2 linked regions of the Pelodiscus sinensis genome follow. The main gene of each other region encodes a partner of the protein of the gene in region 2 in a complex. Links are inferred from orthologs where the notes say so. Each region holds a gene or a part of one and is shown on either strand. Other genes may lie near its edges.

Region 1 (15,582 bases), on a different chromosome or scaffold from region 2:
GGGGAGGGATGCTGGGGAGACTGCCATGAAGCTGCCCCAGATGGCTACGGACAGAGGCTGGTTCCCAGCAGAAGCCCCTGTCCACGGCAGGCCCAGGCTAGAGACAGAGCAGCCTGTCAGTGGGGAGCTCGGTGCTGGGGGGGGGAACCAGCTTTTAAGCCAGCTCCCCCCAGCACTGGCTTCTGCTTCTCCCCATTTGCTGCCACTGATAGAGAGGCAGCGAGGGAGAGAGAGGAAAATGTGTGTAGTTGTCAAGATTAACCGATAAACCTAGGCTTATCAGTTAACCATATAGTTGACTACATGGTGATATACCTAGAACAGGATGCTGATTTTTTAATATAGCTTCAGAAATGATGCTGGCAACTACAGGCCAGTAAGCCTAACTTTGATACCAAAGAAAGTGGTTGAAATTATATTAACAAACATGTATCAGAGACAAAGTCAATATGTTGAGAAAGAGTCAACATGGTTTTTTTTAAAAGGAAATTATGCCTCACTAATCTATTAGAATTCTTTGAGAAGAGTCAAACGAACATGTGGACAAGGATGATCCAATCAGTACCATGCATTCAGATTTCAGAAAGCCTTTGACAAGGTCCCTAATCAAAAACTATCAAGTAAAGTAAGCAGTCATGTGATAAGAGGGAAGGTATTCTCATGGATCAGTAACTGAGTAAAAGATATAAAATAAAATCTAGGAATAAATGGTAAGTTTTCATACTGTAGAGAGGTACAGAAGGCCCCCCAAAAATCTGTGCTGTTGTATGTATTCGTTAGTGATCTGGAAAAGGGGGTGAACAGTAAGTGGCAAAATTTGCAAGTGACACAAAATTTCTCAAGATAGTTCAAAGCTGACTGCAAAGTGCCACAAAGGGATCTCACTAAATGGAGTAACTAGGCAACAAAATGGCACATGAAATTCAACACTCATAAGTGCAAGATAATGCACATTGGAAAAAATAATCCCAATTATACACACAAAATGGTAGGATCTGAATTATTTGTTATTACTCAAGAGTGATATTGGAGTCATTATAGACAGTCCTCTGAAAACATCTATTCAATGTGCAATGTTAGGCAAAAAAGCAAACAGAATGTTAGACACCACAAGAAAAGGGATAGATAATAAAATATAAAATACCATAATGTTAGTATATAAATGCACAGTACATCCACACCTTGAATAATGCCTGCAGATCTGGGCACCCTGCGCCCTCCCCCCCATTTAAAAAAATGATGTTAGAATTCTAAGTGGTACAGAAAAGGGCAACAAACATAATTAGGAGTATGTAACAACTTCTATATGAGATGAGATTAAAAGAAAGACTGGAACTGTCCAAATTAGAAAAGAGAATCATAAAAGGAAAATCTAATAAAGGTCTAAAAAATCATGAATGGTATGGAGAAAATGAATATGGAAGTGTTATTTATTCCTTAACATAAAACAATAACTAGAAATCACACAATTAAATTAATGGGCAGAAAGATTAAAACAAAAAGAAAGTACTTGTACTTCTTCACACAACACACAGTAAACCTATGGAACTCATTGCCATAGGTTGTTGAAAAGGACAAAAGTATAACTGGGTTCAAAAAAGAATCCAATATTTTTATGAATAGTCCATTAATGGCTATTCGTCCAAGTGGTCAGGATATAATTCCATGCTCCGTGTATTTCTAAACATCCATATGCAAGAAGCTGGACTGGACAATGGGATGGATCATGCAATAATTGCCTGTTCTCAGCATTCCCTCTGAAGTATCTGGCACTGGTCACTGATGGAAAGCAATATACTGGGCTAGATGGACCACTAGTCTGACCCAGGATAGTCATTTTTACAAAATGGGAGTGTGGTTTTATAATATTATAATGTATCTTATTATAGACTGGGCTAGTATAGTAGCACTGCACATTAAAGTTTCTGTTCTATTTCCCCATCAAAAACTGATCACTTTTCTCTATATCCTGTTCCTCTTTACAATGCAGTTTTAAATATAAACTGCACACACAACATAAGGGACATGTTTAAGGTGCAACGTCAAGCATTCAAAAGTTCAGAAATTCTAGAATTAAGGCACTTCCCAATAGAAAGAACCTCTTTGTAATGATGTTCAACGTTTAAATATCTGGATGGAAAATTTCTGTTGGTATCTGCCACAGCTTCACCCTCCCTCACTCAGAAGAGTGAGAGGGAGAGAAACTGAGACAGACAGGGAAGAGGAGACTGACATCTGTTGGCCAAAGAGACTAAAAATAGAAGCTAAAGAGCAAGAGAAGCAGGCTGGGACTAGAAGTGGAAATATTAGTAGGATCATCACATGAGGAGCAGGGAGATGGACTATATTAAAATGTATATGGACAAGGGGGAGTGAATTAACATTGAACAGGCAACCTTAATTCTAGCATTTCTGAACTTTTGAATGCTTGACTTTGTACCTTAAGCATGTTCCTTATAATGTTGTGTGTGCAATTTATATTTAAAACTGCAATGTAAAAAGGAACAGGATATAGAGAAAAATGATCAGTTTTTGATAGGAAATAGAACAGAAAATATCAGAGGGGTAGCCGTGTTAGCCTGAATCTGCAAAAGCGGCGAGGAGTCCTGTGGCACCTTATAGACTAACTGAAGTGTAGGAGCATAAGCTTTCGTGGGCAAAGATGCATGCATCTGACGAAGTGGGTCTTTGCCCACGAAAGCTTATGCTCCTACACTTCAGTTAGTCTATAAGGTGCCACAGGACTCCTCACCGCTAGAACAGAAAATGTATCTTTATGGGAAGCTTCAGTCTGAGTAAGTGCAGATTCTCAAACAGATCATAGGTTCTTACCAATCAGCATGACATTTAAACTGAAATAAAATGAAGGTCCCTCTGAAATTAATGTTACACTTTCCCTTCTATGATTCATAAATATTTTAAAATTCTTTTAATCAATGAATCACTATAAAATTTGTGTTAGAACAGAAATGTAAAATGTAGCAATCAGATCCTTTGTCGTCCATTATTAGTTGTCCCTTCTTAAAAATTAATATAAAATTTCTGTGCTTAAATTTGATCTATATTTTGCAACTTTTTTTCATCTAAGTTGTTATATGGCTCTTTGTGAATGTTGAAACAACAATCAACTCTGAAATCAACTGAAAGTTAGTTTATGCTCCCCCTGCTGGTTCTGCAACAGCAGAACACTTTTGACTTAGATAAGTCATGCATTAAAACAAATTGCTTTTTAAAAAATTGTTTATAGAATAGTTTAGCAGCAAGTTTAAAAATGATTTAAGAGACAAAGGAACAGTACATTAGAAAAGTACCATATTCTAAAAAATTAACTATAAAAAATAAAGAAGATAGATAATATAGTTTGACTAGCATTCAAGGAAATACTTACAATGTTCTAGTCACTCGAGTTAGCATAAATAGTAACTAAATTATCCCTTAAATTCACATTAAATAAAGATTATGTAGCATACTTATGGGAAGTTTTATGCACCTCTCAAGCTTCAAATACTCTCCTCTGTCTCATTCAAATCACTCCTTAAAACTCACTTCTACTGCAATATTATTCAGAATTGAGGGGGAGGAAGAAAAGATTTTTTTAAATAATACAGATTAAATAAAGCCTCCTCGGGACTGGTTCCTGGGGAGATGTGTGGGCTTGAAGTAATACAGATTTCAAGATATGTTCATGCCTCACAGGTAGGGATGTAAGGGAGTAGTCAACCAGTCGATTACCTGATAATCATAGGCTTATTAGGTAGTCCAGTCAACTACTTGCTCCCCTTCCTTGCTGCCTCTCCAGCCAGGCTCCATATAGCATTTCAATCTTTGAAACATACAAGAGTCGCTGCTGGGTCTCTTGTACATTTCAAAGGTGGAACAACAGGTGGCACTTCCGCCTTTGAAACGTAGCAACAGCCCAGTGGACTCTTGCTACATTTCAAAGCAGAAGTGCCCTTATTGATTAATCAAATAGTCAATGGAAATTCCAGTGACTATTTGATTAGTTGACTAATTAAAGCCGTCTCAGCGGGAGGCAGAGGCACAGCGGGAAATGGTGCGAGTGGGGACTGCTTCAGTTCCTGCTAGCACCGGTTCCTACTACAGGCGCTTCACATTTCAAAAGCAGAAGTACTGCAGGGAACACAGGATGAGCAGGGACTCAAGCAGTCCCCGCTTGCTCCATGCTCTCTGGTGCCCTCCTCTCCTCTCCTCCCTCCCCCCTGCTGCCTCTATGAAAAGCAGCAAGGGGGGGCAGGAATTGGTGCTGGGGGAAGGCAGCTTAAAAGCCAGTTCCTCCAGCACCGTCTCCAGGGTGCCATCTGCCCTCCCTCCCCCATCAGAGGCAGTGGGGGGGAGGGGAGGAAGATAGGGGATGAAGCTGTCCACAGGGGTCCCAGAGAGGAGCTGCCCCCGCCCTCTGCAGATGGGGCTGTTGCCACCAGGCAACCCCTATTCACGCTGGCCAGGACCAGGGGCTGGTGCTGGAGCACTCTCTGTTCACAGCAGCTAGTGCTGGTTACTGCAAACAGAGGCTGTTCTGGCACCAGCCCATTGGCGGCAGCCAGGGCTGGTCACGAACAGGGACTGCTGCCTGAGCAGCGTCTGCCCACAGCCAGACCTGGCCAACACAAACAAAGGTTGTTCTGGTACCAGCCCCTGTTTGCGGTGGACAGTACTGTCCACTGCACTCAGGGACTGCTGGACTCAGCGCAAGCCAGGACTGAGCAGTTCCAGCTCATGCTGATTGCTGCACTTCTGTATTTTAAATGTAGTAAGAGCCCAGCATTTAAAATGAAGAGCCATAGCACAGGTGGCTCTGGAGTGGGCATGAGCTAGGACTGCTCAGTCCTGGCTTGAGTCAGCTCCTCTGGAGCTACCCCTGCTGCGGCTCTGCAGAAGTGTTTATTGACAAATTGTATTGACTATATGATTAGCCAAATAATCGCATTTAACATCCTTATTCTGGACTAGAGAGGTTCAACCTGTACTAGCTTGTTTCTAGTAAGTTTGTTGCTCTCTGTGTCTATATATGTATATTCCAGACACCATGGGAGGCTCTCTAGCAAGCAAACTAGCAAGTGTTATAGATATGAAACCCACAATCACACTACAGTTTACAATATAAAAGATTTTTTTTTTAAATCACCATTCTACTGCTCAAGTAAAATGTCTTAAACAACAGTAATTCCAAGAGACCATACGTAGAATCATAGAAATGGAAAGGACCTTAAGATATCATCTAGTACAGTTCTCCTGCACTCATGGTAGGACTAAATATTATTTAGAATGGGGTGGAGAGCCTCAGGCCAGCCCGCAGCTTGCTCCCCCACTATCTCACCACAGGACTGGAGCACATAAAATCTAATAGCCTGGGCCCTTCTGGGTCTTAGGCTCTGATTTGCAAGAGGAATGTGGGGAGTGCCTTTTCCCCTTCTCAGTCAGGGATCAGGTGAGTGAGGGGTTTTTTTTTGTTTTGTTTTTGCCCCCAACTGATTATTCTGTGGATCAGCAGCCCCCTAAACCCAAAAGTTTCCCCACCCAAATCTAGACCATTAGGTGTTTGTCCAACCTGCTCTTAAAAATCTCCAATAATGGATATTCCACAACTCCCTAGGCAATTGGTTTCAGTGGTTAACTACCCTAACAGGAAGTTTTTCGTAACGTCCAACATACACCTTCCTTGATGCAATTTAAGCCCATTGCTTTTTGTCCTTCTCTCAGAGATTAAGCAGAACTATTTTTCTCCCCCTCTCTCTGTAACAACTTATGTTGTTGAAAACGCTTATAATGCTCTCTCACGTCTTTTCTTTTACAGACAAAATAAACCCAATTTTTTCCAATCTTTGCTCATAGGTCATGTTTTCTAGACCTTTAATCATTTTTGTTTGCTCTTCTCTGAACTTTCTCCAATTTTCCACATCTCTCCTCAAATGTGGTGCTCAGAACTGAGCACTTGAAACCTAAGCAGCACAGAGTAGAGTGGAAGAATTACTTCTCACGTCTTGTTGAAAACATTCTTATTAATACATCTCAGAAATATATATATTTATTTTTATTGCAACAAACAGTGTCACACTGTTGATTTATACATATCTTGTGGTCCACTATGACCCCCAGATACCTTTCTACACTACTCCTTCCTAGGTAATCATTTTCCATTTTGTATGTGCGCAACTGATTCTTCCTTCCTAAGTAGAGAACTTTGTATTTGTCCTTATTGAATTTCATCCTATTTATTTCAGACCATTTCTTCAATTTGTCCAGATAATTTTGAATTTTAATCCTATTTCTCAAAGTCCTCCCAACTTGGTATCATCTGCAAATTTTACAAGTGTACTCACTATGCCATTATCTATACAATGGATAAAGGTAATGTACAGAACCAGTCTTACACCTGATTCCTGTGGGATCCTACTCGTTATGGCCTTCCAACATCACTCCACCAATAACTATTCTCTGGGAATGGTTTTCCAGCCAGTTTTTCACCCACCTTACATAGTAACTCCATATAAGCTGTATGTCTCTAGTTTTTTTATGAGAAGGCCATGAGAGACAATATCAAAAGCTTTATTGAAGTCACATCAACCACTTCAGTATGCAGCATGGAGAGAATTATTTGGGGGTGATGATGCTAGGATTAGTGATACAAGTAGGGATGTTAAAGTGTACCCAGTTAGCCATTTAATTGATAAATGGATTCTTATTGGTGTCAGTTGCGCTCAGTTCTCCAGGGAGGCAGCTTTGCTGTGAAAAGGCAGCAAAGTCTCCTCTCCAGAAGCCAGGCCGGCAAGGGCTACCCACTCTGATCCTGGGGAGAAAGATTCGGTGCCACAGCAAAGCCCCCACACCTCCCCAGGAGCCAGACCTGGGGAGGCTTTGCTGTGGGCCCTCCAGTATAAAGCTAAGCTTTACATTGCAGAGTCCACAGCAGGTGTAACCATGTAACCACTGAGATTTTCAGAAGTTACGCAGCTATCTTATTACACGATTTTCAACATCCCTAGTGCTAAAACCAGATCTATATTACACTTGGAAGGCTGGCTTAATTACAACTACATAAATACAATTACAGCAACATAAATAATGGAGCTGGAGTCGATGTACCTTAAGCCGAGCTATCTCCATAGCAGGAAGTCAACGGGAGCAAATGCTCCCGTCAACTTCCCTTACTCCTCGTGAATCAAGGAGTAGCAGTGGTGACCGGACAGTGCCCTCATAATTTAATTGAGCAGGTCTTTAGTAGTCCCTCTAAACCAAACACCAGAAGATGAATCTCTGGCCCATAAGTATAGTCAGATGAAGAACAGGGTTGCACCCATTAAAGCTCACAATACCATCTACATGTTTCGTTCGTCTTTAAAATGCTATCAGACTATTCGTTGTTTTTAAGGATGTAAAATCCCGTTTAAAAGGTACCTGGTTAACCGGCGCGGGCAGGAGGCTGGTTTACTGGTTACCCCTTTGTACCCAAGTAATGACTAGGCGAGTCAGGGAGGAATCACTGAGCAAACGAAGCGCTGTCTGCAGGGCAGGGAGCAGCACAGAGAGGGGGCGTGAGGGCGAGGCCCAGGGATTACACAGGGAGGGGAGCTCGGTGGCGGATACACCACGGGGAGGCTGCTCCCTGGGGCCCGTGGCACGGCCGGGAGGGCGGGGACAGGGAGCTGGGCGCCTGGAGCGAGGGTGAGGGGCGCTGCGCGGAGAGCGGCGCGGGGCTCACGCCAGGCTCGGCGGGGCCGTACTCACTATATTGGTCCACCTGCCGCAGCGGCCGGAAGTAGATGGGGTAAAACGCCGCCCCCACTACGGCCACGAACCCGCCGAAGATGAGCAGCGTGCGGGAGTGTCGCCCCATAGCTAGGCAAGGCGAGGGGCAGACCTCCACCCTCTGACCTCTCACCTTCGACTGCAGTTTACCCGCTTCCGCTTCCGGGGCAAGTGCAGGCGCCACTGAGAAGCTAAGCCCCGCCCCTTCCCGAAGTCTCCCGCTTCCTCGCTGTGGCAGCCCCGCCCCCCACTTCTGCAGGCGCCTCGGGGCGCGTCCCCCGCTGCGTCCTAGAGGCGGGCTGCGAGCTCCGGGGGGCGGGGCTCGTCACCTCGCTTCAGTGCGGCCTGTGCCGGGATGGGGGCTCCTTGGCGGGGCTATGGCAGCAGCGGGGGCCTCACGCGTCTCCAAGGCCGCGACGTGCGCCGGGCTTTGCACTCCAGTGGTAGCGATGGGGCTGGTGCAGAAGCCCCGTCGGATGCACAGACAGACAGACAGACAGGAACTGGGGGGGAGAGGGGTGCAGTCAGCTGAGCGCAATAGAACAGCTGTTCAACACCATTTGACAGCCCGTGACGTGAATGATAATATACCCCATGGAAACCACTCATACATTCTGACTCCAATCTTTTCGTAGTTCCACCATCACCGTGCCTGTGCCTTCAGACACAGTAGAACAAGCAAACTAAGTTCGTGAGCTTTGTATTACATTTTTATCTCTCCAAAGATGCCAAAGTGGCTTTTTTGCAGATAACCAGCCCGATACTGCTTGTCCCGGAATCCAGTTCCTTGGGTACTTTGAATGTAACCTGTGCAAAGAAAGAAATTACTTGTAAGAGCACTATCAATCATTTTCTGCCAGGAAGATTTATTTGAGAAAAGGTTATGTTCTGCTTTTTTATATGTATAACAAATATCAATTAAGGTTGTCAGTCTTTGCTGGTTTTGCTGGAGGTCTTCTTGGACATACCAGATAAGGATAAGAGATTTCTTAGTTTTTAACAGAAGGCAAGATAATGTTCAATATTTTACAGCTTTTTCTGCCCTGCGTGATAAGGTGTTAGAGTTGTATATATTTCAAAAACTGAATAATAAAAGTCATTGTCCCTTTAATCAACTTTCACTTGAATGGTGACTCATAAATCTACAATTTTAGGATAAGCACATTGGACACAATCTGAATCTTTAATGTAAAAAGTAGGTTTTCCAATGCTCTTAGAAGGAAAAATAAACCCAAAACTTTTCAGGCTTTTATTTTGCATCATAAAAATGGAAAATAATGGTATACACTAAATTTTCAGTTTTGGATATTAAAAAGGACTAGTATTTGTAGTATGAGAAGACGGCATATTTGTCAACCTAAAGGCTGTGTCCTTTCCAGACAGATACAAGTGTTTTCAATGACAGAACTTGTACATAGTACAATACTTCAGATGTTGGGAAGTAGTATTTGCCAAATCCTGTTGGTAATGAAGCTGGTGGGAATTTGATGGGGAGCAGAATAAGGGTCATATCCTGTAAGGCTAAAATTCAACAGAGAGTAAAGGAACCTCGTGTAGCCCTACATACCACCTGCATTAAGGGCTCCACATATCTGTAAGAGATCTGTCAAAGCATATTGATTAGGACCAAGGCCTTAGTCCCGGGAGGGCAGGAAGCCTACAAGTCTTTCTATGGGTGTACATAAATGACAGATAATATTGAACTTCATCATCTAATGCAGCTCTTAATTACAATGTTTCAGGAACATATATTAAACAATAATTTTATCTCTATTATTAAATTGGCACAGTCATGCCATATGTTTAAGTTTGAAAGTATAAGTAAATAGTACAATTTATGTGAGTTGTTCATGGTAGCTACTATGCCTTCCTATGTGTGTGGACAGTTCCTAACTTCCTATAGGCTCTAGCATAATGCAGATAATATAATAGTAATAACATGTACCAAGGATTTCAGACCATGCAATGTCTTTTTATTGTAATTTCTATAATTCTGAGGTTATTATTAATAACTAATACAATTACAAGGTGCACTTTTCTAGAGATGTGACAAATGTTCTCAGAGCTCTTTACTGGCATTCCTATTTGACTGATGGCTTCCTGAGGAAGTCATCATGGGAAGTCTATTAAGGCAAAAAAATCCAGGAAACCTAAAGACAGGCATAAGATTATGGGAACTGTTAGATGGATCAAGCTCCCAGGTTCAGCTAATCCAGTATCTGACAGAGGCCGGGGTGTGTATCTACATCGGGACCAAAGGCTTCAGAACGAAATGCAAGAACTCCCACGGCAACAGCTTTGAAATAATCTGTTTCACGTAGGTCCCATCGTGGGCTCTAACAGCAATTGGTTAAACTTTAAATCCTGAAGCATGAGAATTAATAGCTCTTCTGTAATGTTACACACTAGCAGGGCTACCCCTCTGAGATTTCTGTGATGTGTTAGCACAAATCATTGTAACTCTTGGTCCATGTAAATGCATGAGCCCTTCTATCAGAGGCTCAGAGCACCTGCAAACTAAGGTATTTTTAATTCTCTCCCTTTCTCCCACTCCCCCATCCCGAGAGCGGCAGTTGGAGGAGAAACAATACACACAATTCACACTATACACAGGCCAGCGTGTCAGGCAGTGCTGGGCAGTCCCAGCAGCATCCACAGACTCAGATAAATAGCTCTAGGGGCGAGCAAAACGAGCGGGTTGTCCCCCTCCACACCGTTACACCCAGGGGAAGGTCAACGAGACTGAGGGAGGGAACAAAGGAGGAGCAGGTGCGCCTGGCGTCCCCAGCTCGGCTCGTCCTTTCGTGCTGCACCTGCCCAGCGAGACTCCAGCCCCGCCCGGGCGGAGCCTCCTCCCCCCGCAGCGGCTGAGCTCCAGGAAGCAGGATCTGCCTAGTCCCCGTGGCCGGATTCCCCCGGCGGCCGCGCGCTCTGGCTGCCCTGAGCCGGCACCGACCTGCAGCAGCAAGTGCCGCTCTGGGCCTCGACCCGCCGCGTGCCGGCCCCGCGTCGCCCATGGGAGCAGCCGGCGCCTGAGCCCCATCGGAACCATGTGGCGCCCAGCGGAGCCCCGGCCAGTGCCCCGTGGGGGCCTCCTTCTGCTCTGGCTGCTGGTGAGCCCGCCTCCCCCACTCCCCGCACACCTGCTGCCGCGCCGCTGCGGGGCTGGCCGGGACCTACTGCCGGGGGCTCTGGGCTGGGCTGGGCTGCCAGCCCCTTTGCCCCGCAGCAGGCACTTCTGTCGCTGCCAGCCCCGGAAGCTGGGCAGGAGCCCGCTGTGCTCTCCGGTATCCTCTCTCCCTCCCTTCGCATCACACCCCTCGCACTCCCAGTACTCCCCCAGCTTCTATCACACTTCTCTCCATGCACCCCCTAGCACAGTCCCTAGTCACCCTCTACACCACCCCAGCACACTCCAATGACCCCCCAGCAATGCTCACCCCCTACACCACCCCAGCGCACTCCAATGCTCCCCCAGCAAGCCCCCATATACTCCTCCATCCACTCCAGCACACCCACAGTTACAGCTCTCCAGCTGTCCCAGTATACTCCTCCACCTACCTCAACACACTCCCAATACCCTGTCCCAATACACACGCTATCCAACACAACACATTCCCTATGCACTCTTCCTTTCCTATACACCTCTCCTTCCACCCCACATTGCTAATACAGCCACATCCTTCTGCACTTCTCCATCCACCCCAGCATACATCCAATATGCATACCTCTGTCCACCTCAATACACTCTTAGTATACTCCACCAAACCAGTTCATACTTCCTTCTGTGAACTCCGACACAGTTCCAGTACATTTATCTTTCCATCCACCCCCAACCCATTACCAATGCTCTCCTGCACCCCAGTACACCCCTCTATCCACTCCAACATACTCCCAGTACAATCCCAAACATATCTCCAGTAAATTTGCCACACCCATATCCCTAATGAATGCCCTTTCTCCAATGCACAAAAATCCTGGTTCTACTCTGACATCTCTTCATTATTCTGCCCCACTACCACACACCTCTTGCTCCTTTATAATCCTTCTCTTTCTTCCCTTTTTTTCTGCTGCCCCAAAATACACATCTGTTCCCTTAAGAGCCTTTTCCCCTGTGCCTACCCAACTGCACCCTCTCCTGTCAACACACCACCCTCCTGCCAACCCTCATCAAAACATACTCTGATTTCTATTCCCAGGGATGATGATGATGACTTCCCCTGCCACCTCTTCCAATTTTTTCTAATACTGATTTAAAAAAAAACCAGAATATTTTAGTTTTCAACTGACAGTATTTTAAACAAAGTATTAGCTTATTTACAGAATTAAATGTATATATCTAGAATCTAGAAAATTATATTTTTATCATTTGCACAGTAATTTATACACTTACTTGTCACTTTTTCACAGATCTATATTTCAGCCATCAAGCATAAAAAAGTTACAAATCTAGATCGCATATTAAAAGCACTTAAGGACCATTCTTGTCCAGGGTCCTGGACTCCTACTCATGATCAATCATTATTAAAAAGAAGAATCCAATTATTTTCCATAGGGCTATATTCACTTCAATCCTAGGAATAGAGGGTTGGGAGGGACCTCTAGAATTCATCATGTCCAGTCCCCTGCACAAAAGCAGAATCAAGTAAAATCAGACTATCCATGACAGGTGCGTGTTCAACCTGTTCATAAAAAACCTCCAGAAATGGGGATTCTTCAGCTTCCCTTAGAAGACCACGTCAGAGCGTAACTATCCTTATAGCTTGAAAGTTTTTGGTACTACATAATCTTTAAATCTCCTTTGCTGAAGATTGATGCCATTACTTCGTGTCCTACCTTCAGTGGACATGAAGAACAATTGATCACAATCCTCTTTGTAACAACCCTTAATATATTTGAAGACTGTTACCATTCTCAAGACTACATAGGCACAGTTGTTTTAACCTTTCCTTGTAAGTCCACATCTTCTATTGGCCACCCACCCAATAGTAATATGATAACATTTAACTAGTTTTCTTATGAGAGGGTCATGTAGGACTGTGTCAAAAGCTTCACTAATATCAAGCTATATCTTGTCTCCATTAGACCAGTGATTCTGACAAAGACAGAAATGAGATTGGTTTGACATGATTTGTTCTTGACAAATACATTTTGGCTATTTCTTGTAACCCTGTTATGCTCTAGGTGCTTATAAAGTGACTGTTTAATAATTTGTTCAGGTGTCTTTCCAAGTATCAAAGTTAGGTTGACTGTTCTGTAATCCCCAAATCCTCTTTGTTCCTCTTTTTAAAGATAGGTCCTATGTTTGCCCTTGTCCAGCCCTCTGGGACGTCATCCTGTTCTTTAGGATTTTTTGAGATAATTACTAATGGTTCTGAGATTGCTTCAGTGAGTTCTTTAACTATCTTAGGATGGATCTCATTAAGCCCTGCCAATTTTGAATACATTTATCTGAATATTCTTCAACCTGTACTCATATTTTGATGAAGGATAGTGTGTGAGATTAAGAGTTGAAGAGTTGTGAGTCATTAATCTGGTAATTTATACCTAATGAAGACTAACTACCCTGGGCAAGATTTTCACAAGATTTTCAGCGCTTCACAATCAAGCCCACATTTTCAAAGGAGTTCAGTGCTATAAAACCTGGCCATAAACATTAATCTGGAAGCCAAGATGCTGTATCCTGAATGTTTTTGGAAAACTGGCTTTATGTAGGTGCTTAAATGGGAGTTTTCCAAATCTGGCCCCAGTTGTTGGTTCTGAACATCTGACCTACTGCTTTGTAAAAGAACTTGGCTTCAGATTTCTAAATTATTGTGCCCTTCAACAGGCAACATACATAACTCTTATTGACACCATTTTAAAATTATTATTACATGTAGCTATTTTTTGTATGCATAAAAGGAGGGGGGAACTTCTCTTCTTGGTTTCTTATCTGATTGTCAAAATGTATCTTGAGAATGTTACATGTTTGCTGCCTGTGCTACCCCTACAGAAAAGACTGTGTTTATCTCTGCTGCCTACTCCTAAATCAGGTTTTAGATTACCATCTTTGCCTCTTACAACAACAGTTACAAATTATAAAGTGGGAAATGTCACATTGCCTGTTAACTCTGTAGTGATATTAATCTTAAAAATGTGACCTTTTAAAAGAGGATCCTCATTTTGGCCAGACATATTTATCTCCTCTTATACAAACTTAGGAGTTGTTCACTATTTCTTTTTGCAGTTATTTTCAAACTTTTTTTCCTCATACGCAGGAGGCAGGGGCGGATATAGGGCACGGTGAACGGGGCGGCCGCCCTGGGCTCTGCGCTTAAAAAAGCCCCGCGCATGCGCTGTGGCGCTACCGCGCATGCGCATGGCGTCACGGCGCATGCGCCATGGCAAAGGGGGGGCCCCGCAGAGTTATGATGCCCGGGGCCCCGCAAAACAGTCATCTGCCCTTGCCAGGAGGCATAAGGGATCTGTCGAAAAAGGCTTTCTTTCTCAACAGATCCCCCTCTAGACTGCTGCGTTTTGCTGACAAAGTGCTGAGTCGGCAAAAACGTTGGCCATTTTTATGCAAATTAAGCACGGGATATTTAAATCCCTGCTTCATTTGCAATGTCGACCTGCCTAATCTACATCGCTCTGCCGACAGAGGGATGCAGTCTAGACATACCCTCTGTGACCCAGGACTGGGTCGCATCCCATGCTTTGAAAACCACTTTCTTAGTGTACATTATTGATTTAGGAAACAATGAGTGATAACATTAATGTGATAAGTTTTGTGCAGTAAGTGCCATTAAAAACTCAACCTTTTCCATTCCTGAGGGATTGTGGTATTGTGGATTCTCCTCTTTTACAAGTAACTTATTATCCTTATTGCCAATACCTAGGTGGTAGTAAATAATGAGCTTTTAATGGCACCCACAATTTAAATCAGCATAATTTTAGGACTCTGCTTTTACTCTCTTGGCCTCTCACTGAAGTCACTGGGGATTGTTTTGCTTTTGATATAGAATGAGCCCTTTGTGCTCATATTGGATCATTTGCACGCATCTTAAAATTCAGCATGACCCAATAGAGAACAGTGGGCCATGTTCAGATCTTGTGTAAACAGATACAGTTTCACTGAGGTCAGTGGAGTTTCTCCAGAGCTGAATTTGATCCAAGAATATTAAGAACCCCCCCCCCCAACAACTTGTTCGTTATCCTCAGCCTTTTTTCTTTTTGTTGCCTAGTATCAGTGATGTTTCATAGGTTAAAAGTCCACTTTCTCACCCATCACAGGTGAATATGGGTCTTCCCCTGAAATCTGGGTTGTGATAGAACTGTTGCAGTAAAAATCAGTGAAGTCTAACTGCCCCTCAAATTAAGAAAAATACTATAACCCTTATGGATGTGAAAATAACTATGTGAATCCATTATAAATTAATGCAGTGTTGCCATTCTGACTCTGTGGAGAGTTAGACTGTTAAATTAGCAGGACACTGTTCTGTTTTACTATTTCTGTGCCAAACCACGTGCATAATAGTGAAATTGTCAAGAATTTTGCCACTTAATAGTGCCTGTCTTGAGGTTTACATAACCCCCTTGCTGGCCTGGTAACCAGAGGTAATGCAGCAACTCCCAAGCAGCTCTGATTGACAGCCTCACAGCAGCTGGGAGAATAAAAGACCAGAGATGCAAAGGGATTGGGTGGCTGCCTGAGGAGCAAACAGGCTAAAGAAGAAAAATCATTCCAGCAAACTGGTGAGAAATTACCCAGAGACAATCCCACAAAGAAAGGATGATCAGAACCATAGGCATAAGAAGCCCACAGAACCAAAA
Region 2 (16,594 bases):
GATTGTTGTTTATATTCAGAATATAATCATTAAAACACATCCCATTGTCATTTCCAAAAATATGTGGATGCTATCAGCAAGGAGTTTTAAGCACCGCTTATCTTGTGTTTATTAGAAAAAGACCTTCACTAAAGCAATCATGTTTTTGTCAATCACACAAATGTCTTTTAACTAATACGTCTATCAGAAAATATTGTGAATGCTGAAAAAATAATCACATTTCAGTTAACTTTCATGTTTTAGTGAGGCATCTCAATGGACTCAATTAAAAGCTTCCTCACAAGTCTCATTATGTGAATGATCATTGGTTCTCATATGGGTTTCTCCATAAGTGAGATTTTATCAAACACAGGTAGTGCTGAAACTTTTTACCATCATCTTTATCTGGTTTATCAGAAGTTGGCAACTGTTGTTTGACCTACTTAACTTAGAGAGCAATCCACTTATCATGCTCTAGTTTTTGTATTGCTACTTGAGTAATACAAAACTGGTGACATGTTAAAGCATTGGGTAAGCTATAACTTAACCAGCGTAAAGCCTTTTAGTGACATGGTTATCTATAAGCATGGTTTGTGGATTCACACAATATAGTTAATAATTAATTATAGCACCTAATCATGTTTCTTCCTTGCTAGAAGCACCGGCTGGCATGTGGTAGATTATGGCAGTTGAGCACTCTCACTTTTGGTAGGTAGATGTGACCATTTAACCATGCCTGTGTACATAATGTGGCTATCCACCAAACTTTAGGGCATTCACCTGTCTCCTATCCAAACTAATATTTTGGTCTGTCTTTCTGATATCAACTTAAGGATACCAAGGTGTGTGTTTACACTTAAAAATAGAGCTTTTATTCTTTTCCTTCTAAGCAAGGTAAGGATTTGGTTGTGCTAGGACAATGGGATTTGCTTTGAATAAGATTGTTTTTCATAAAACGCAAAAGGAGGGGTCTGCTAGCAGACACAGTTATCCTACAGAATGATCACTGGGGGGCAGACACACTGGTAGAAAAGTAGGCAGCTGGGGGAGGTGCTCTGGATGTTGGTGGCCACCGTACACAAGTAAGGTTCCCATACAGGTGAGTTACCAGTCAGGCAGCATGGCCTCCTTGGCCCCATGGATCTGGCACCTGCCCCACTTCCATGGCCAGCCCCAGAGAACTGGCACCCAGAAAGCATGGCCTGCGCCACCCCTGCAAGTCCCAGGGATCTGGTACCTGGCCAGCATGGCCCCCAACACCCTGTATTGGCCAGTCCCAGGGAGTTGCTGCTCAGGTAGTGTGACTCTGCCACCCCAGGGGTTGGCCAACCTCCTGCCCTGAGCTCCCACACTCCTAACTCCCCTGACCTGACTCCAGCACTCCCCAGCCCCTACCAAGCCACTCCAACTCTGACTCCTAAGCCCCCATACTTCCACCCTCCTGCCCTGATCCCTTCCTCACCCTCAAGACTGACTTCTGCATACCCCCCACACCCAGCACAGAGCCTCTCCTCACCCCCCCATCTATGAGTTCAGCACCACCCCACATCCTCAAACAATTGCTTTGACTTCTGCACCCCCCACACTCCCTGCCCCATCCTGAGCCTCTCCTTAATGACCTAAGCCAGTGGTCCCCAACATGGTGCCCGCAGGCACCATGGTACCCACCGGGGCATTTATGTGCATCCGCTGAATCATCTGGGTTGGCCCAGCACACGGCATATGCGCGGAGCAAGCCCTGGGCACAGAGCGCATGGGCGGCCCCTGCCCTGGGCGTGCGGCACACGCGTGGTGCCGACCCTGGGCGCAGGGGTGGCCCCTGCCCCAGGCACGCAGCATATGTGCGGTGCCGGCCCCGGGTGCATGGCACATGCACGGTGCCGGCCCCAGGCGCGCGGCGTGTGCACAGCTCCGCCCCCGCTCCTAAGCAATGCCCTGCTCCTAAGCAATGCTGGGAAATGTGCTAGTGTTATACTATATAACAACTTACTCTTCCACATTTCAGTCTCTAAGGCTATGTCTACACTACACTGTTCTTCTGGAAAAAGCTACGCAAATTGCGAACCACAATTTGCGTAGCTTTTTCCACTTCTTTTTTCAGAATAGGCTTTTCTGACATTTGGCCTATCTACACTGGGCCAAACGAAGGAAAAAAACCCTTTTTCAGAACATCCCTTCTTATTTGCAAAACAAAGTTTACAGGGATGCCAAAAAAGCGTATCTGCTCAGAAAAACTGTAGTGTAGATATAGCCTAAAAGTTAACATACTTTCAGTAACTAAAGAGCAGTTTTAGACACTAGTAAGGTCCCTTTCAGCCCTACAATTCTATCATTCTAACTGTATGAGGACATCACTTGTTTTGTGTGGGTACTCCCAGTGTCAATACCATTCACCATTCAAAAAACTATGGGCTATCGCAAAGATACTCTTAAAAGGCATTCTGGACCAAACTCAGCCCATAAAAGGGAGAGTTTGAATAACTCTCTATACTTCTTTAATAATCTATGTTTGAGCTTTCTTCAAGGCTGTTAATGAAAATTGTCAACAAGTATTTTAATATTTGTCCACCTGCAAACCCTTATACACCAATCCCGCTCTGCAGCTTGAGCACCAGGCAGGTGGGCTGAGCTGTTTGACCCTACTCCCCAGCAGAAGTGTTGGATGGGCAGGCAGAACAGGACAATCACTGTAGCTGGAGTAGAGCCAGGGCCATGGGGGTAAGCCTGGATGTAAAATTTACACCCCTGGCTATGCCCCTCCCATATGACTGGAAGAAAATTCCTTCAAATATGCAGATGGTCCACCTTCAAATCCTTAAAACTAACCTATGCTATAATGCCTACAAAACAGTGGTTATGACCACTACTTGTAAGATGACTCTTGATATCTGTTTCCTTGTTATCTGTGCATCTACCGCTCAGCATACCCTTCAATTGTAAACTCACTCATACTTTTTCTTTTCATTGTGACACCAGTGCTTAGTACGGTGGGACAATACCACGTTAGTCCAGCTACTAAATAGTAAGTAAGAGGATGCTCTCTAGCCTTTGTAGTCTGGTGCAGTGTATCTCAACCTTTTTTTTTTTTTTTATAAAGTACCCCTTTAAAAAAACATACCCCCCAGTACCTACAGTTCTCAAACACACAACATTTTTTTCTATCGTTGCAACACATTTGTCTAAACAACTTAATCATAGCTGGGTGGGCAATGACATTTTTGGGTGTAAAAAGTACAAAAATAATAAAATGCTGTGAAACTTAAAACAAAAATTCTGTTTTCTCCAATTTTCAGTTGTTTTGACGTACTCCCCAGACTTCTCTTGAGTACCCGTGGTTGAGAAACACTGCCATAGACTAGCCTAGTACATGAGTTTGAGGTTATCGCTTAAACTGTCGTAAGTGATAACAGATAAACATACTTCTGTAACTCTTGCAAGTTGGCTTCTCCCTATCGCCACCCTCACCAAAGCATCATTGCTGAATTATTGTACTGAAGTACAGACGGGGCGCTGAAGCTAGGGTTGCCAGGTGTCCGGTATTGTACCGGACAGTCGGGTATTTGCATGCTCTGTCCAGTAAAAAAAAACAAAAAATACCAGACATGTGCAATGTCCGGTATTTTCTGATTTATCCGGCTGCACATCGGACAGAAGCATGGCGTGGGCAGGGGGAACGGCTGGGAGTCCGAGCTGGGAGGCGGGGCAGTGATTGCTGCTTGGAGCCCTCTATTGGTTGAGTGTGAGGAGGAGAGGAAGCCTCCTCCTCGCTCCTGCGTCACAGGGAGCCTGCGCCAGACAGGCAGCAAGTGCTCAGGTCAGTCCCACTCCTCGTGGGCCAATTTGCTCACCCCCCCTTCCTGGCCGGCCAGTTCTCCCCCATTTCCCCTCCTGATCTCCCCTGGCCAGCCTTCCTGCACCACCCCCCAGCTCTGCTTCCTGCCGGCCTGTTCCTCTTCCTTATTTCCCCTGGCCAGCACTGCTGCACCTCTCCTCTTGCTCCCCCCACCCGACTGCACCCCTCCCCCCCCAGCCAGCTACGCTTCCCCTTCTTCCCGGCCACCCTCCTGGCCCCTGATCCCCCCCAGCTATGCTGCCAGCCCCCCCTTACTTCTGACCAGCCCCGCCCCCTTCTGGCTGGTCCCTCCTCCCCCGATATCCCGTGGCCAGCCCCATTCCACCCAACTCCCCCCCCACGACCAGCGCTGCTTCTCGTTCCCCCCCATCTTCCCCTGGCCAGTCCCATTGCCACCCCCCCCCCACTCCTGGCCAGCATCACTCTCTTCCTGGCCGGACCCTTCCCCTCCCAATGAAGTGTGTTCTGGGTTTTTTTTTAAATGATTACCTGGTAACCGCTACCAGTGATCCAGGTTCTCGGAAGTTGTGTGTGTGTGTGTGTGTGTGTGTGTGTGTGTGTGTGTGTGTGTGCTGGTTTTTTGGGTTTTTTTCCTCAACAACTTTGGTCCCCCTCCCGCCCTTTTTTTCCTTCAACAAATTTTTTTCCCGGTGGGTTTTTTTTTTTTTTTTTTTGAGGGGGGCGGTGTTCGGTATTTTTCTTTCAGCCCTCTGGCAACCCCAGCTGAGGCAGAGAGCAAAAGTGGCTTGTCCAGGCCAGGCAGTGAACTGGTGTCGACAGCGGGATCACCACCAAGCTCCCCAGCCTGGCGTGACTCCGCGAGCCGCTTCGTGCCCCCGGACACACGGAGGCGATAAGTCCTTAGTACTGCAGTGGTTCGGACCAGGCGGGCTCCCTAAGGATTTGGGACCAACCGCCCGCCTCACAACAGCACACGACCCCACAACCGCTGCAAGGCCGCGCGGTTGGTTGCCAGCGCATGCGCTCTTCTGGCGTGGCGCGCACGCGCTCTCTGCCCCGCCTCTCTTCCCTCCGCTAGGGCGCGTGCTTCTCCGCCCTGTCCACGTGCCCGCCGGGTCGCCCCATCTGCGCGGGCAAGCGCGCGCCGCCCGCTTCCGCGTTCTGCCCTTGGGAGCACTTTGGCGGTCTGCGCCTGCGCCGCGGGCGTGGACCTGTCTTGGGAGTGGCTATGTGCTAGTGGCGGCTGCGGTAGCGAGGATCCCCGCATGGAGCCTTCTCCGGGCCCAGCAGGTAGGGGCGGACCCCCCCTCCCCCCCGCGCGTGCGTGACTCCTGCAGCGGGGGGGGGGGGGGCAGGAACAGCAGCGCCCGCTGCTGCCGCCGCCTCCTGGTGCCGCGCTCTCACCGCCCCGGGAAAGCCCCGCGCGCCTCGGGGGTCGGTGGTGGGAGGGGAACGTGCAGGCAGGTTGGCTTGCGGTGCTGCCAGCTGGCGTTAAAGGTCACGCTGCAGGGCGCGCTGGGGAGCGAAAGTAACCCTGCTGTTTGCCTGCCTTGGGGCCAAGTGGGCCAAGCTGAGTGCTAGGATGAGCTTGGTTCTGCCGGCGGGTTGGATGTTACCTTTGGCCCTGGCTATACGAGCCCTGCGATACTCAGCCTGTTCTAGAGCAGGATCCTCTCTCCTCATCTTAGGAAAGTGGGGAAGGCAACATGGCCATTATTTCTTGGTACCAGCCAGTGACTTTCACTTGCTATCGCCAGCAGCAACAACGGGTCAAGTCTTAAGATAGACAAGGTGCTGGCAGCTGCCTGACTCTTAACTCTGTGCTGTGCAAACCAGTTTTGGGCAGGGTTCAATGACCGTGTTACTGAATTATCAGCATGTAGTCTATATTAGCATTCCTTTTGCTCCCACCAGAGGCCGTAGTATTGGGGAATGTGAAGAGGAACCTATAAGCTGTATTTACATTAGAACGAAGTGCTTGCCTACACAGACAAATTGTGTTGATACAAGTTAAGTGTTGTATTTAAACCTATATTATATTTAAAAAACCTCCACGTGGATGCTATTATTCTGGCATAAGAGGGTCTTTTCCCAGTTTGTTTCTTGGAAAGGAAAGATAAACAAGCTTTTTTTATACTGGAATACTATATACACAGCTTTATTTCAATATAGTTATATTGGTTTAACTATATATAAAGCCATGTTTATAATAGGAGTGTTTTACCATATGTGTACAAACATTTGCATGTACATGCTCCATACTAGTGGTGTGCAATCACAATTTTCATTGTCTTCATTTTAAAAGTTGTGTGCCCTTGTTTCACATACATTGACTATACCAGTGAAGCTGAGCCAACAACAATGCTTAAACATGGGTGTTGTTACCAATTTTCTAAAACATTATCTATTGCCAGTGTATGATCAAAGCTATTTTTTCAGAGCATTACTCTACCAAACACTGCCACTAGTTAGAAGAGTACAGGCAGTCCCCGGGGTTACATGGATCTGACTTGCATCGAATCCCTACTTACAAACGGGGTGAGGCAACCCCGCACTAGCTGCTTCCCCCCAGCAGACCAGGGAGACGCGGAGCGGCTTTTCTCAGCAGACACCTCAGCTTGAGACTAAAGGATTGAGAGAAGTGAGGTGTGGGAGAATAAAACTGAGCTCTGGAGAAATGTTTGGCTAGAGTTTCCCCTACAATATGTACCAGTTCCGACTTACATACAAATTCAACTTAAGAACAAACCTACAGTCCCTATCTTGTATGTAACCCGGGGTCTGCCTGTACAGCAATTTTTATAACATTCTTAAAATGTGTTTACACAGTAGGGATGTTAAATATCAGTTAATTGAATAGTTGATTAACCTCGTGAATTCTTATCAGTTACTCGATTATTCTATAGTTCCCGGGGGCGGGTGGGGGGGGGGGGGCAGGAAGGGGACTAGCAGCCAGTGTGCTCCGGTCCCACTCCCAAAGAGCCCCCTGCTTGGGGTGCTCGGCAGGAGCCAATCCACAAGGGGAGCCCGTTTAAAAACCAGTTCCCCTCATGGGCCAGGTGCCTGTCACCCCCACTGCTGCCTCTGATGCAACTCCTGTCTGGGGGGTGGGCCTGAGCTTCTGGATCAGGTGCATGCCAAAACTGAGCCGGGCTGTCTACCCACCTGGCTCTTAATACACTGTAAATGCAGAGCTGCAGCAAAAGTAGGTTCTGGACCTGGCGTGAGTCAGGACTGAGCCGGGCTGCTGACCAGACGGCTAAAAAATTAACAGGCAATGTGGAGGAATGCATGTAGTTTATAGCATTAACCTATAAGCTTTTGCTTGTTGGTTAATTGGTTAATTGACTACACTATTACATCCCTATTACCAGAGCTTTCTGCTAAGTTTAAACTTTATAAGTATGTATATACCTAAAGCAGGGCATTGGAACTCAGACGTCTAGCATCGACAAGACCTTGGGGCTTTTCTACACAGGAAATTTTTGCCAATAAGCTAGGCCTCCATTGCAGACTTCTCCCAGCACAGCAGGGCAAGGTGTGACAAGATGTGATTACTAACCAACATGGGTGCTGAAAAACTAGCTATACCAGCAATGCTACACTTTTATCCGTATCGCTTATTTCACTTATTTGGGGCCTTACCATACCAGTACTAGGGACATAAAAGGTTAACCCAGAAGACCCTCTGCAGCAGCTCCCTAGAGGGCCTGGCCACCCTCTTCCCCTGCCATAACACCTGGCCGCAGGTTACGGGCTGACTCACTGGGAGCTGCTGCAGAGCCTGCAGCAAAGCTTCCCTGGGAACAGGGCTGGCAGCAGAGCCTTCTCCCCAGGAGTGGGGCCATCAGCAGCCCCTGCTGTTCCTGCACCCAGGAAGGCGGCTTTGCTATGGCAGCAATTCTTCCTCCCAAGGGTGCCAGCCCTGCTCCTTGGGAGGCTACACAGCAGGCTCTGCAGTATAAAGCTTATTTAAGCTTTATACTGCAGGGCCCACAGCTGTGTAACCAGTAACCACTTTGATTTTTAGCGGTTACACCGTTACATTTTTAACTGTGTTTTTACATCCCGTGTGTGTTTGTGTATACCAGCATACTTGACTAGCAAAGCACAGCTAAAATAGTAAATGAACACTTTGTACTGGTTAGGGATGTGAAAGCTTAACTGGTAATGCTTACCGGGTGCAGGGAGCTGCTCCAGCCCCTCGGGGCTCACCATGGGCAGGGGCTGCTCCAGCTTCCTGGAGAAATCTCTGTTGATGGCACCCCGTTCCCCACTGCAGGTTACACGCTGACTCCCTGGGAGTGGGGCCAGCTGCTTTTCTGTGGCAGAGAAGCCGCCTCCCTGGGAGTGGAACTGGCAGGGACTGGCAATCCTGCTGCCAGGGAGGCTTCGTTGCAGGCTATGCAGTGTAAAGCTTATTTATTAATCTAACAGTGCTTAACATTGCTTGTTCTTTGCATTCATCAGTAATAAAAAACTGCATTTTATCTGTTTTTATTCTGCAGTTACACTGATTGGATGGCAATGAACATACTTTTGAACTTCCCAGGATGCATTTGGGAAATTGTTATGCAGTATGAGGCAACCCTTGGGTTAATCTGTCACGCAATGTTCCTCTCTGAAACTGCCACAACTTATGAACGAGTTACGTACCAAGCACTTGGTCATAACTCGATCTGTTCGTAAGTCGGATTACATTCACTTACGTATGGCCGCGCTGTTCATAAGTGCAGCTTTCGTTCGTAACTCAGATATCGGCTGTATAGGAGGCTGATCGTAAATACAAATGGTCGTAAGTCGATGCATTTGTAACTCAGGGACCGGCTGTATTTTGTTTTCTACAGGTTGGACCTCTCTGGTCTGTCATCCTTGGGATCTGACTGGTCCCGGACCAGGGGTGGTCCCTCCCCTAATGGTCCATGCTAAACTGCTGTTCCCCTTCCCCTGCTGCTTTCCCCATTGCTCCCTGACAAACCCTCACTCCCTGAGCTAGAGCTCTCCAGCTCCCATTCTCCCAGCTTCTGCCAGGGCCGGAGCTGCATGGCTGTGGTGCGAACTTCTTGGCTGCAGTTGGGGCTGGAGCTACATGGCTGGGGCTGGAGCTTCACAGACTACCCCCCCACAAGACTTCTGGGTGAGTCTCTCTCTCCTGCTTCACTTCCCCCCTCCCCCCATGTTACTGGCTCGTGGCCAGACCTCCTTACTCCTGGAATCTGTGGTCCAGGAACATCTGTAGTCCTGCCAGACCACGGATGTTGCTGGATCTGAAAGTCCTGGCTAAGGGAGGTACAACCTGTAGTGTATCGGTTTTCATTTTTTAAAATGAAACTCAGGCTTTGTCTGATTGCTCTGCAGTTTGGATTACTATAAAAGTGTTAATAGCAGCAGGTTGAAATGCTGCCACAGAACTCCCCTGTGTAGACCCTACGAGTGTGAACTGCTTTGCATTAATATGGTTCAGTTTGAAGAGGACTGTGCTAATGTAAACTAGGAACTCTAGTTTTGATCACATGGGGAAGTTACAGCACAACACTTTGATCTACACTGCTATTCACTCCCCACTAGTCCTAATTGGGGGACAGTGTAGGCAAGCATGTAGTTGCTGTTTGTTATGTTGAGAAAAAAACATCAAAATGTTAACTAGGTGCAGCTAGAATAGAGATATCTGTGTCAGTTTGAAAAGAGACTGGAGCAATAGCTGAGAAGTGTGAACTGCCCCATTCATTTCAGTGTGTTTACTCAGATCCTAGTGTGGTACTTAAATGTCAACATAGTTAACTATTTAATTTTGCATGTAAGGAGAGGAATAATCGCATGTCTGTACAATGTTTCCATGAGTCATGTCTCATTTTAGTGCCACAAGAAGTGAGGTGATGGTGGGCTACCAATATCACTACATACTATTTTCACCCATTAAAAAGAAAACCAAGTCCAGCTTGCCCAACAGAGCCCGTGGATGTACGGGAGCCCCTCTGAAGAGGAGAAAAGCTCTAGGAGCCTTTGAAGTAGGAATAAGAGATCCTCCAGAATAGGGCTTTATTCCGGAGGATCGGGCCAGTCTAGATGCTCTTTTCCGGCTTTTCTACAAGCTGGAAAAAAGCGGCGGATATCTTTATTTAAATCCCGCGGGGGATATTTAAATCCCCTGCAGATTTCCCTATTACGAAGTTTAAAATTAGCATGCCCCTTTCGGAAAAGGGGCCAGTGTAGACGTAGCCCTAATGTATGAAGTTACGTACTTAGAATTTTTTCAGGGAAGGCTCTTGCCTTTCTTGATGGCTATGCTGCACTTCAGTATTATGTTCAGTTAAAAAGTCTTTTTAGGGACTCAGTTTCTCATTATACACTTACAAAATTTGAGGGCCAGCTGCACTATTCTACTATGTGAATGGTGTAGAGTCATGACACATTAAAAAGATAGTGGAGGAAAGGAAAGACATTTCAGTGTAAAGGCAGGAAAAGACAAGGAAGCTAAGAGTTAGAAGTTAAAGAGTAGAGAGTCAGGAATAGAACTGGAGAAATAGTTAAAGGATAATTCAAAATGGAAAGGAAAAAGAAGAGTGGTGCAAGAGATAATTCAACAAATAGCCTTTTTAATGGCTTTTCATTTTTATTTCGTTTCTGTTAAGTAGAATAGAGATTCGGCACAGAAAAGAAATTTTAGGAACAGTCCACTTTCAAGATGGAAAATTGGATAACAGCCTTTCTGTGTCTTGTTTATACCCTGGCCAAAGGACAGAGAAGTGTTTGATGGAATGTTCTGGAACTCCTCTGGGAAATAAGATATCAAATAAATAAATTATATAAGTACCTGGACAGAGAGTGAAGTAGTATGCAATGCAGTTTAAAAAGATTCTTCACAGATGAACATACTATAACCCCAGAGTTCTCACCCTTTTACATCTCAGGATCACCTATATAGCAATATGCGAAGAGCAGGAATACACAACTAAGTGTGTTTTGACCATTTAAACTGGTATTTAGAGTCCTGCACAGATACATATATGTGGATCCGCCTCCGCCAGGCTCATTCTGTTATCTGATCCGCAAGCTGGATTTTATCTTCATACACATCTGCAGGGTGGCAGCAGCAAGCTGTCTTTAGAGGGTAGGTGGGAGGAAGCACAAATGAGTGAGGAGGGGACAGGGTCTTGCAGGGAAGAGGGAGGCAGCATGGGAACAAGGACTCTGAGTAAGGAGCAGCATAAGGGCAGGATGAGGGTCTCAGGTAGAGGTGGGAATGGATTTGCATTGTGTGCTTTTGCTGCTGGGGTGGGGGGTGTTCATCAGCAATGGTACCTGGTAGCAGCAGCTTCTGTGAGATCACAGCAGGGCAGAGGGGTACAGAGTTGGGCCGTCGCCCGCCCCAGTCTCCATGGCAGAGGGTGGGCCGTGCTGCCCTGCAATTGGCCGAGCCTAGGGCACTGCACCCGCTTCCCCCCATAGCTCCAGCCCCACAGAGCTGGACCCTCCCCTCTCTGAACAGGGCAGCTTGCTGTTATGCTGAGAGTCTTCCTCCTCTCCCAGAAGTGAGCCACCTCCCCCATGCATGCTCCCAGCTGCACTAGATGACAGTACGGAACAGCAGTGTGGGGCAAGTGGGCCCCTGGTTCGCCACAGGTCACTGTTGATTGGGTGTGGGGGCAAGGCTGGTACTCAGCTTCTTGTGCAGGGAAATTTGGGAACCAGTTGGCACTCTCTCCTTGCTGGCAGCAGGGGGCCTACGCTGGCATCCTGCCTTAGCTGGACAGCCGGGTACAGTTGGAAGAGACCCCTGTGCAAGTATTGGTGCCATTATCTGTGAAAATGGTCCATGGATATCCGCATTTGCGGTTGTGAACCGGCTATCCAGAGCTCTAACTATAATACATATATATGTCAACTTACTGTCAGCCGCCTTGATTTTTTTGTTTTGGTGCAGCCTGGAACTGGCTATTCAAGGTGATTGTGCTGCAAAGCAAATAGAAAGCGGTGTGTAGATACAAGCAAAGTGAAGAGTGAATTAGTTAAGCACATAGTTAAGAGTTTCTCTTCTTAGACCTTAGTGCTGGTTCACAGCAGAAATGATAGGATCAGGTTCCTCTATACGCGCTTCCTTGCTCTTAATTTTTAAAATTTATGCACAGCACTCCTTATCTGGGCCTTGAAAGAATATACTGTAGGAGGATGCTCTCATTTAGCAGCATTTACCGGATCTTGAAAGAGAGAGATTTGTGATTAAATAATATTTTTTAAAAGAAAGCATCCTTGAAGATTTGGACTTAAATTGAAGAGTCTAGTCTAGCATTTTAGACAGGATTTCTTTACACAAAAAAGTATTTGTAAAATAGATTGAAAAGTCTTCAAGAAAAACCACCAAAAATAAATGGGATAAACCATAAATAATTACCGGTATATTAGTAAATAGGCACATAAACAGCACACTCAGTCGCTGATTGGAATTGTGTGGTGAAATCTAATCCAACAATACCCCATCTTACTCATATTTCTGATTTAGTTTTGATGCCATTAAATAGTTTGGCTTCCATTTCCTGCAAGTTTTTCTGCTTATCCAGATGTTGTTTATTTTTGTTTTCACTGGAGATGTTAATTTTATGCTACATTCTCATTTTACCCCATGAGCTTTGTTTGTTATAAACATATAGCATTTTTTAAAGAGTTAGTCACTGATTTAAAGGCTGTATTCCAAGTTGTCTGTTTGCTCCTAACAGGAATGGAAAATGAATGGCTTCATGTTTTATGTACACAAATTAATTCACATTACTTGCACACTTTTTTCCAATTATGCTGTCATACTTGGGACGTAGAGCAGCTCTCATATTTTCAGTTGCACTATCAAACCATCGTCTTACCTTTGGGGAGTTCTAAACACCATGTTCTGCCAAGAATTTTTCATCTAAGGGTGGTGATGAGCTAATAAATGCAACAGTAACTATATCAAGGGTATATTGGTAATAGGAATGTTACTCTTGGGACTGCTGTTCTGGCAAGAGAAGCTGAAGTGTTCAGGTTTGACTGGAGGAATGTTAAACAGTGTTGCACCTGGGACTTGATCTGCACTGATGCTGTCATTTTATTCCTGCTGTCGTATTTGTGTATATCTGCTGACTGTAATATCACCCATGTAGAGAGTGTGTCTGTGTCATACATAGAATACAAAATACGTTAACAGAATTTTAAGTCACAAAGACAAAAGTTAGCAAATGTCAGAATTAAGTGCCTGTGCTACCTTAGCTGTTAGCATTTGAGATTTATAGCTGTGTACTATTCTGTGGTCCTGCTGTCCAGCCTACCTGTCTGCTCCCTATCTCCACTCCTTATGGAGACAAGAAGAGCAGATGGGGGTCAAAGAGGCAGTGCGAGAATGGAATTACATGGTGGAGGCCTGCTCCAATACCAGATTCCTTACCAGTTTCCTGCCATATGTGCATCTGTTAGGCTGGATGGGTAGTCTTTTCCAGGCTGCTCATGCATACTTCAGCCAACCAGCTGACCCTCCATCACTTCTCCTTGGCCATCAGGAAGGAATCCTGGCCTGACAGACATGAGAAGCTCTGTGAGCCTAGGTCAGCTCTTGGTGAATCTGAGTAGTAACTATTATGTCATGGAGTAAGTGCTTGCAGGATGAGGCCCTTAATTATATCCTTACTATTAATAAGAAAATAGAGGATGGATTCAGCGCTGGCACTTTTCTACTCTGGATTAGGAGTTGTCTTCTGAGGAACTTCTTTGAAGTATGTTTCGCTATATTTGTTGTTAAGCAAATACCTGGCTATTTGAAACCCCCATAATTAACGAAAACATGGCATTTTGCATAATCTGCCTTTGTTTCATCCCAAGTATTATAGTATTGCTGAACTGATTTCTGACTTACTGCAGTGTAGCCATTGTGGATTTCTAGCTAACATGCTTGTCAGTATTCTTATAATCCAGTACTGCCATATTGCAAGAACACATGAGCCCCAAAGCAAAATGTAAGATAACAAATTCAGCCAGTGAAAAAGGTGAAAATTGACTTCGAGGTGATGATAGAATGGTGAGAAGTTAGAGCTTCGGAAATTTTCCCTGGTGTTGTCATCCTTGTACTCTATCTTAATTTGAATTGATGTGAATATAGGATAGAAAATCTCAAAATCTGTGGGGTTTAATACAAAGATATATGCTACCATAGGTTTTAAGAAAATCCTAAATATACTGCCGTATAGAGCAACTGCGCTAACCAGACTGTTGAAAATAGTTTTAGAATATCAGGGTTTTCATGTCAAATGTTCACTTTGTTTTTATATCCTTTAGCTAATAATCAAAATGTCATTAGTAAAGAGCAAGCAACTTAGGAGCCCAATCCTGCAAACATTTATACACAAGTGGGCCCTCTGAACTTCATAGGATCGCTCACATGTCTAAAATTGCTCACTTACGTGTTTGCAGAATCAGATCCTAAGATCCCATTTCTGCGATGGGCTCTTCACAGGTAAATGTCTGCATCCATTTGAGCTTCACCACCTTCAGTGGGACTCTGGGTGGCTCCTGTTCTTGCAGTATGACAGTACTGGATTATAAGAATACTGACAATGGGGAGCTCATGCTGGCACTCCAGCCTGTGTTGGTGGGGCGCACCAGTGCTGGCTCTACAATGCTGGGGTGGGGGAGCCTTGAGTCTTAGGAGCCAGATTCAGGCAAGCCATGTGCCAGAGCTGGTCCCTGGGCCATAGGTTCCCCACCCCATGGGAGAATTTCCTTTCACTTTTCCTCTTTGATACACCAGTAATGAGGACCAAAAATTCTAGCATAGACAGAGCAATATTTCTCTCTCATTTGTCTTTTATAGGAGCAAAGGAAAAGAAAGATGCAAGGTTATTTAAATAGCAGCCTGTAAAGCTAGTTCTAACTAAGAAGGCAACTGTTAATGGGGTGAAGTTCCAAAAAAAATACACCTCCAAAACACTGCCAGATGGAGGTTAATAAGCAAGGCAGAGGTAGGTTTGGTGGCCACCAGCAAGGTCCAGGGAATACAAGCTGATGAGTTGGTCTGATACAAACTATATAGCAGCCATAAAATGGGAGAGGGTATTTTCATTTATCAGAACGCTATTTTTGCAGGACCTTTACTGTCATAACAGTCTTTGGCTACGAGCATTTCTCTCATAAATGTGGAAGTACTCTTTGCTTTAGGTGTTGGCCAAAAAAAGAAGCAGGTTTTTTTGGGTCTCTTCCTCCTCAAGAGCCTCCTGACTATTGTAAAAGTCCCCTCTACAATATTCTTTTCTCCATAGCTTCCTGACTTCTGTGCAAAGGGCGAGTGGCAATATTACAGGTGCTCCATGTTTTTCAGTTCCATATGGTTTCTATGTTTTTCTAGACTTAAGTCCTGATACTCTGGTCCTTGTAGATGTATCTATTAGGGATGTTAAATTTTGATTAATCAGCTAATTGAGTAGTTAATGGAATTTCCATCGACGACGTGGTAAGTTGATGTGGGTGGAGGGGCTACTACATGTGGTTCTTACTTCATTTAAAAGGCAGAGGCGCAGCAGTGGGGTCCTGGCATGAGTGGGGACTGCTTCAGTTCCCACTTACGATGTTTTGACTGCTGCGCCTCTGCCGCCCCTGCCTCCCTGAGGAGATGAAGCTGGTTTCCCTCCCAGCATTGGCTCCTACTCCCCCATTTGCTGCCTCTGTATCAGAGGCAGCCAAGGGGGGAAGCGACTAGTCGAGTAGTAACTTGATTACCCGATAAAAGTAGGCTTATTGGGTAGTTGACTAATCGCTTATATCCCTCGTATCTATTTTCTTGGTTTCCCTGTTTTTAATAAAAATAATAAACTATTGTTAGGAATAGAATGTTTTGTAATGAACTTATTAGAATAGACAGAAATTTCAGTTTGAACAGTGAACATGAAGAACAGTGAGTCTATTTTTGTGGAAAGGTGTAACATTGTTGGAAATGGCAGAAGGCTTTGAGGACTTCACAGCATGGTTTGTGATTCTATCTTCAGACTTTCCCTCACAAAGTCCTGCATTTTGTACATGGTAGCTGTTCTTAGAAATAATTTGAGGCTGAGCTGGCTTTTTTTTTGGGTCTTTTGAGTAAACAAGGCTTAGAGAGAGAATCGCTTAGGGAGAGAGTGATGGAAGAGGCGAAAAAAGGGGAAATGAAGTGGCCTCAAAAGACAACCTTTTTGATGGTAAAGCTCACTAGTTATTGCTGGCTACTTCGTATGCCTATTTGTGAATACCTCATTTCAATTTTCATTTGTATATTCTAAGTCAAACACTTATTTGGAGTATGAACAAGTCTGGGAAGTATAACGGTAATGAGTTTTTGTTTTTACAGTTCTGGTTTTCTGAACAATGATTTATGCAGACTAAGAACTGGGCATTTAAATAGACTGTCAAGGATGGTTTGTAGAACTGTGGTGGACAATAGGCTTTTCTTGACATTTCTTTCAGTTAAAGATTGAAAAGTGTACCCTAATATGTCTTTGAGTTTGGGGATGAAAAAGAATATAGTATTTAAATAGTGTATGTTGACAGAAATACTAATTTTACTTGGAGATATGGATTCCATCATCACAGAGGGTTACATAAGAACTGGGACTGTGTTTTAAACATGGAGTTCGGGTCATTTGTATTTATTTCTGTTGATTAAACTAATTTTAAACAAGTAATTTTAGGTTAAGCAGCCTGTTTCTTTCTAATTTTATAAACAAACTAAAATACAATTTAAAGTTGTGCTTGAATGTGTTATGTTTTCCCACTGTTAATGAGCTAGGAATGCAAGAGTTAAACTGGTTAACC

What was found.
Region 1: CMC1 (region 2) and SMIM20 share a complex: the UniProt entries of both Homo sapiens proteins name them as parts of the MITRAC (mitochondrial translation regulation assembly intermediate of cytochrome c oxidase complex) complex. The link is inferred for Pelodiscus sinensis from reciprocal best matches to the Homo sapiens genes CMC1 and SMIM20.

The regions. Positions count from the first base shown.
Region 1 is NC_134715.1:101,588,744-101,604,325, forward strand, and holds the start of SMIM20 (small integral membrane protein 20), read right to left. Parts: upstream 7,931-15,582; 5' UTR 7,856-7,930; coding exon 7,747-7,855; intron 1-7,746. Other genes in the region: SEL1L3 (protein sel-1 homolog 3), read left to right, coding at 10,818-10,880.
Region 2 is NC_134712.1:186,367,388-186,383,981, reverse strand, and holds the start of CMC1 (COX assembly mitochondrial protein homolog), read left to right. Parts: upstream 1-8,796; 5' UTR 8,797-8,836; coding exon 8,837-8,930; intron 8,931-16,594. UniProt on the Homo sapiens protein: Component of the MITRAC (mitochondrial translation regulation assembly intermediate of cytochrome c oxidase complex) complex, that regulates cytochrome c oxidase assembly.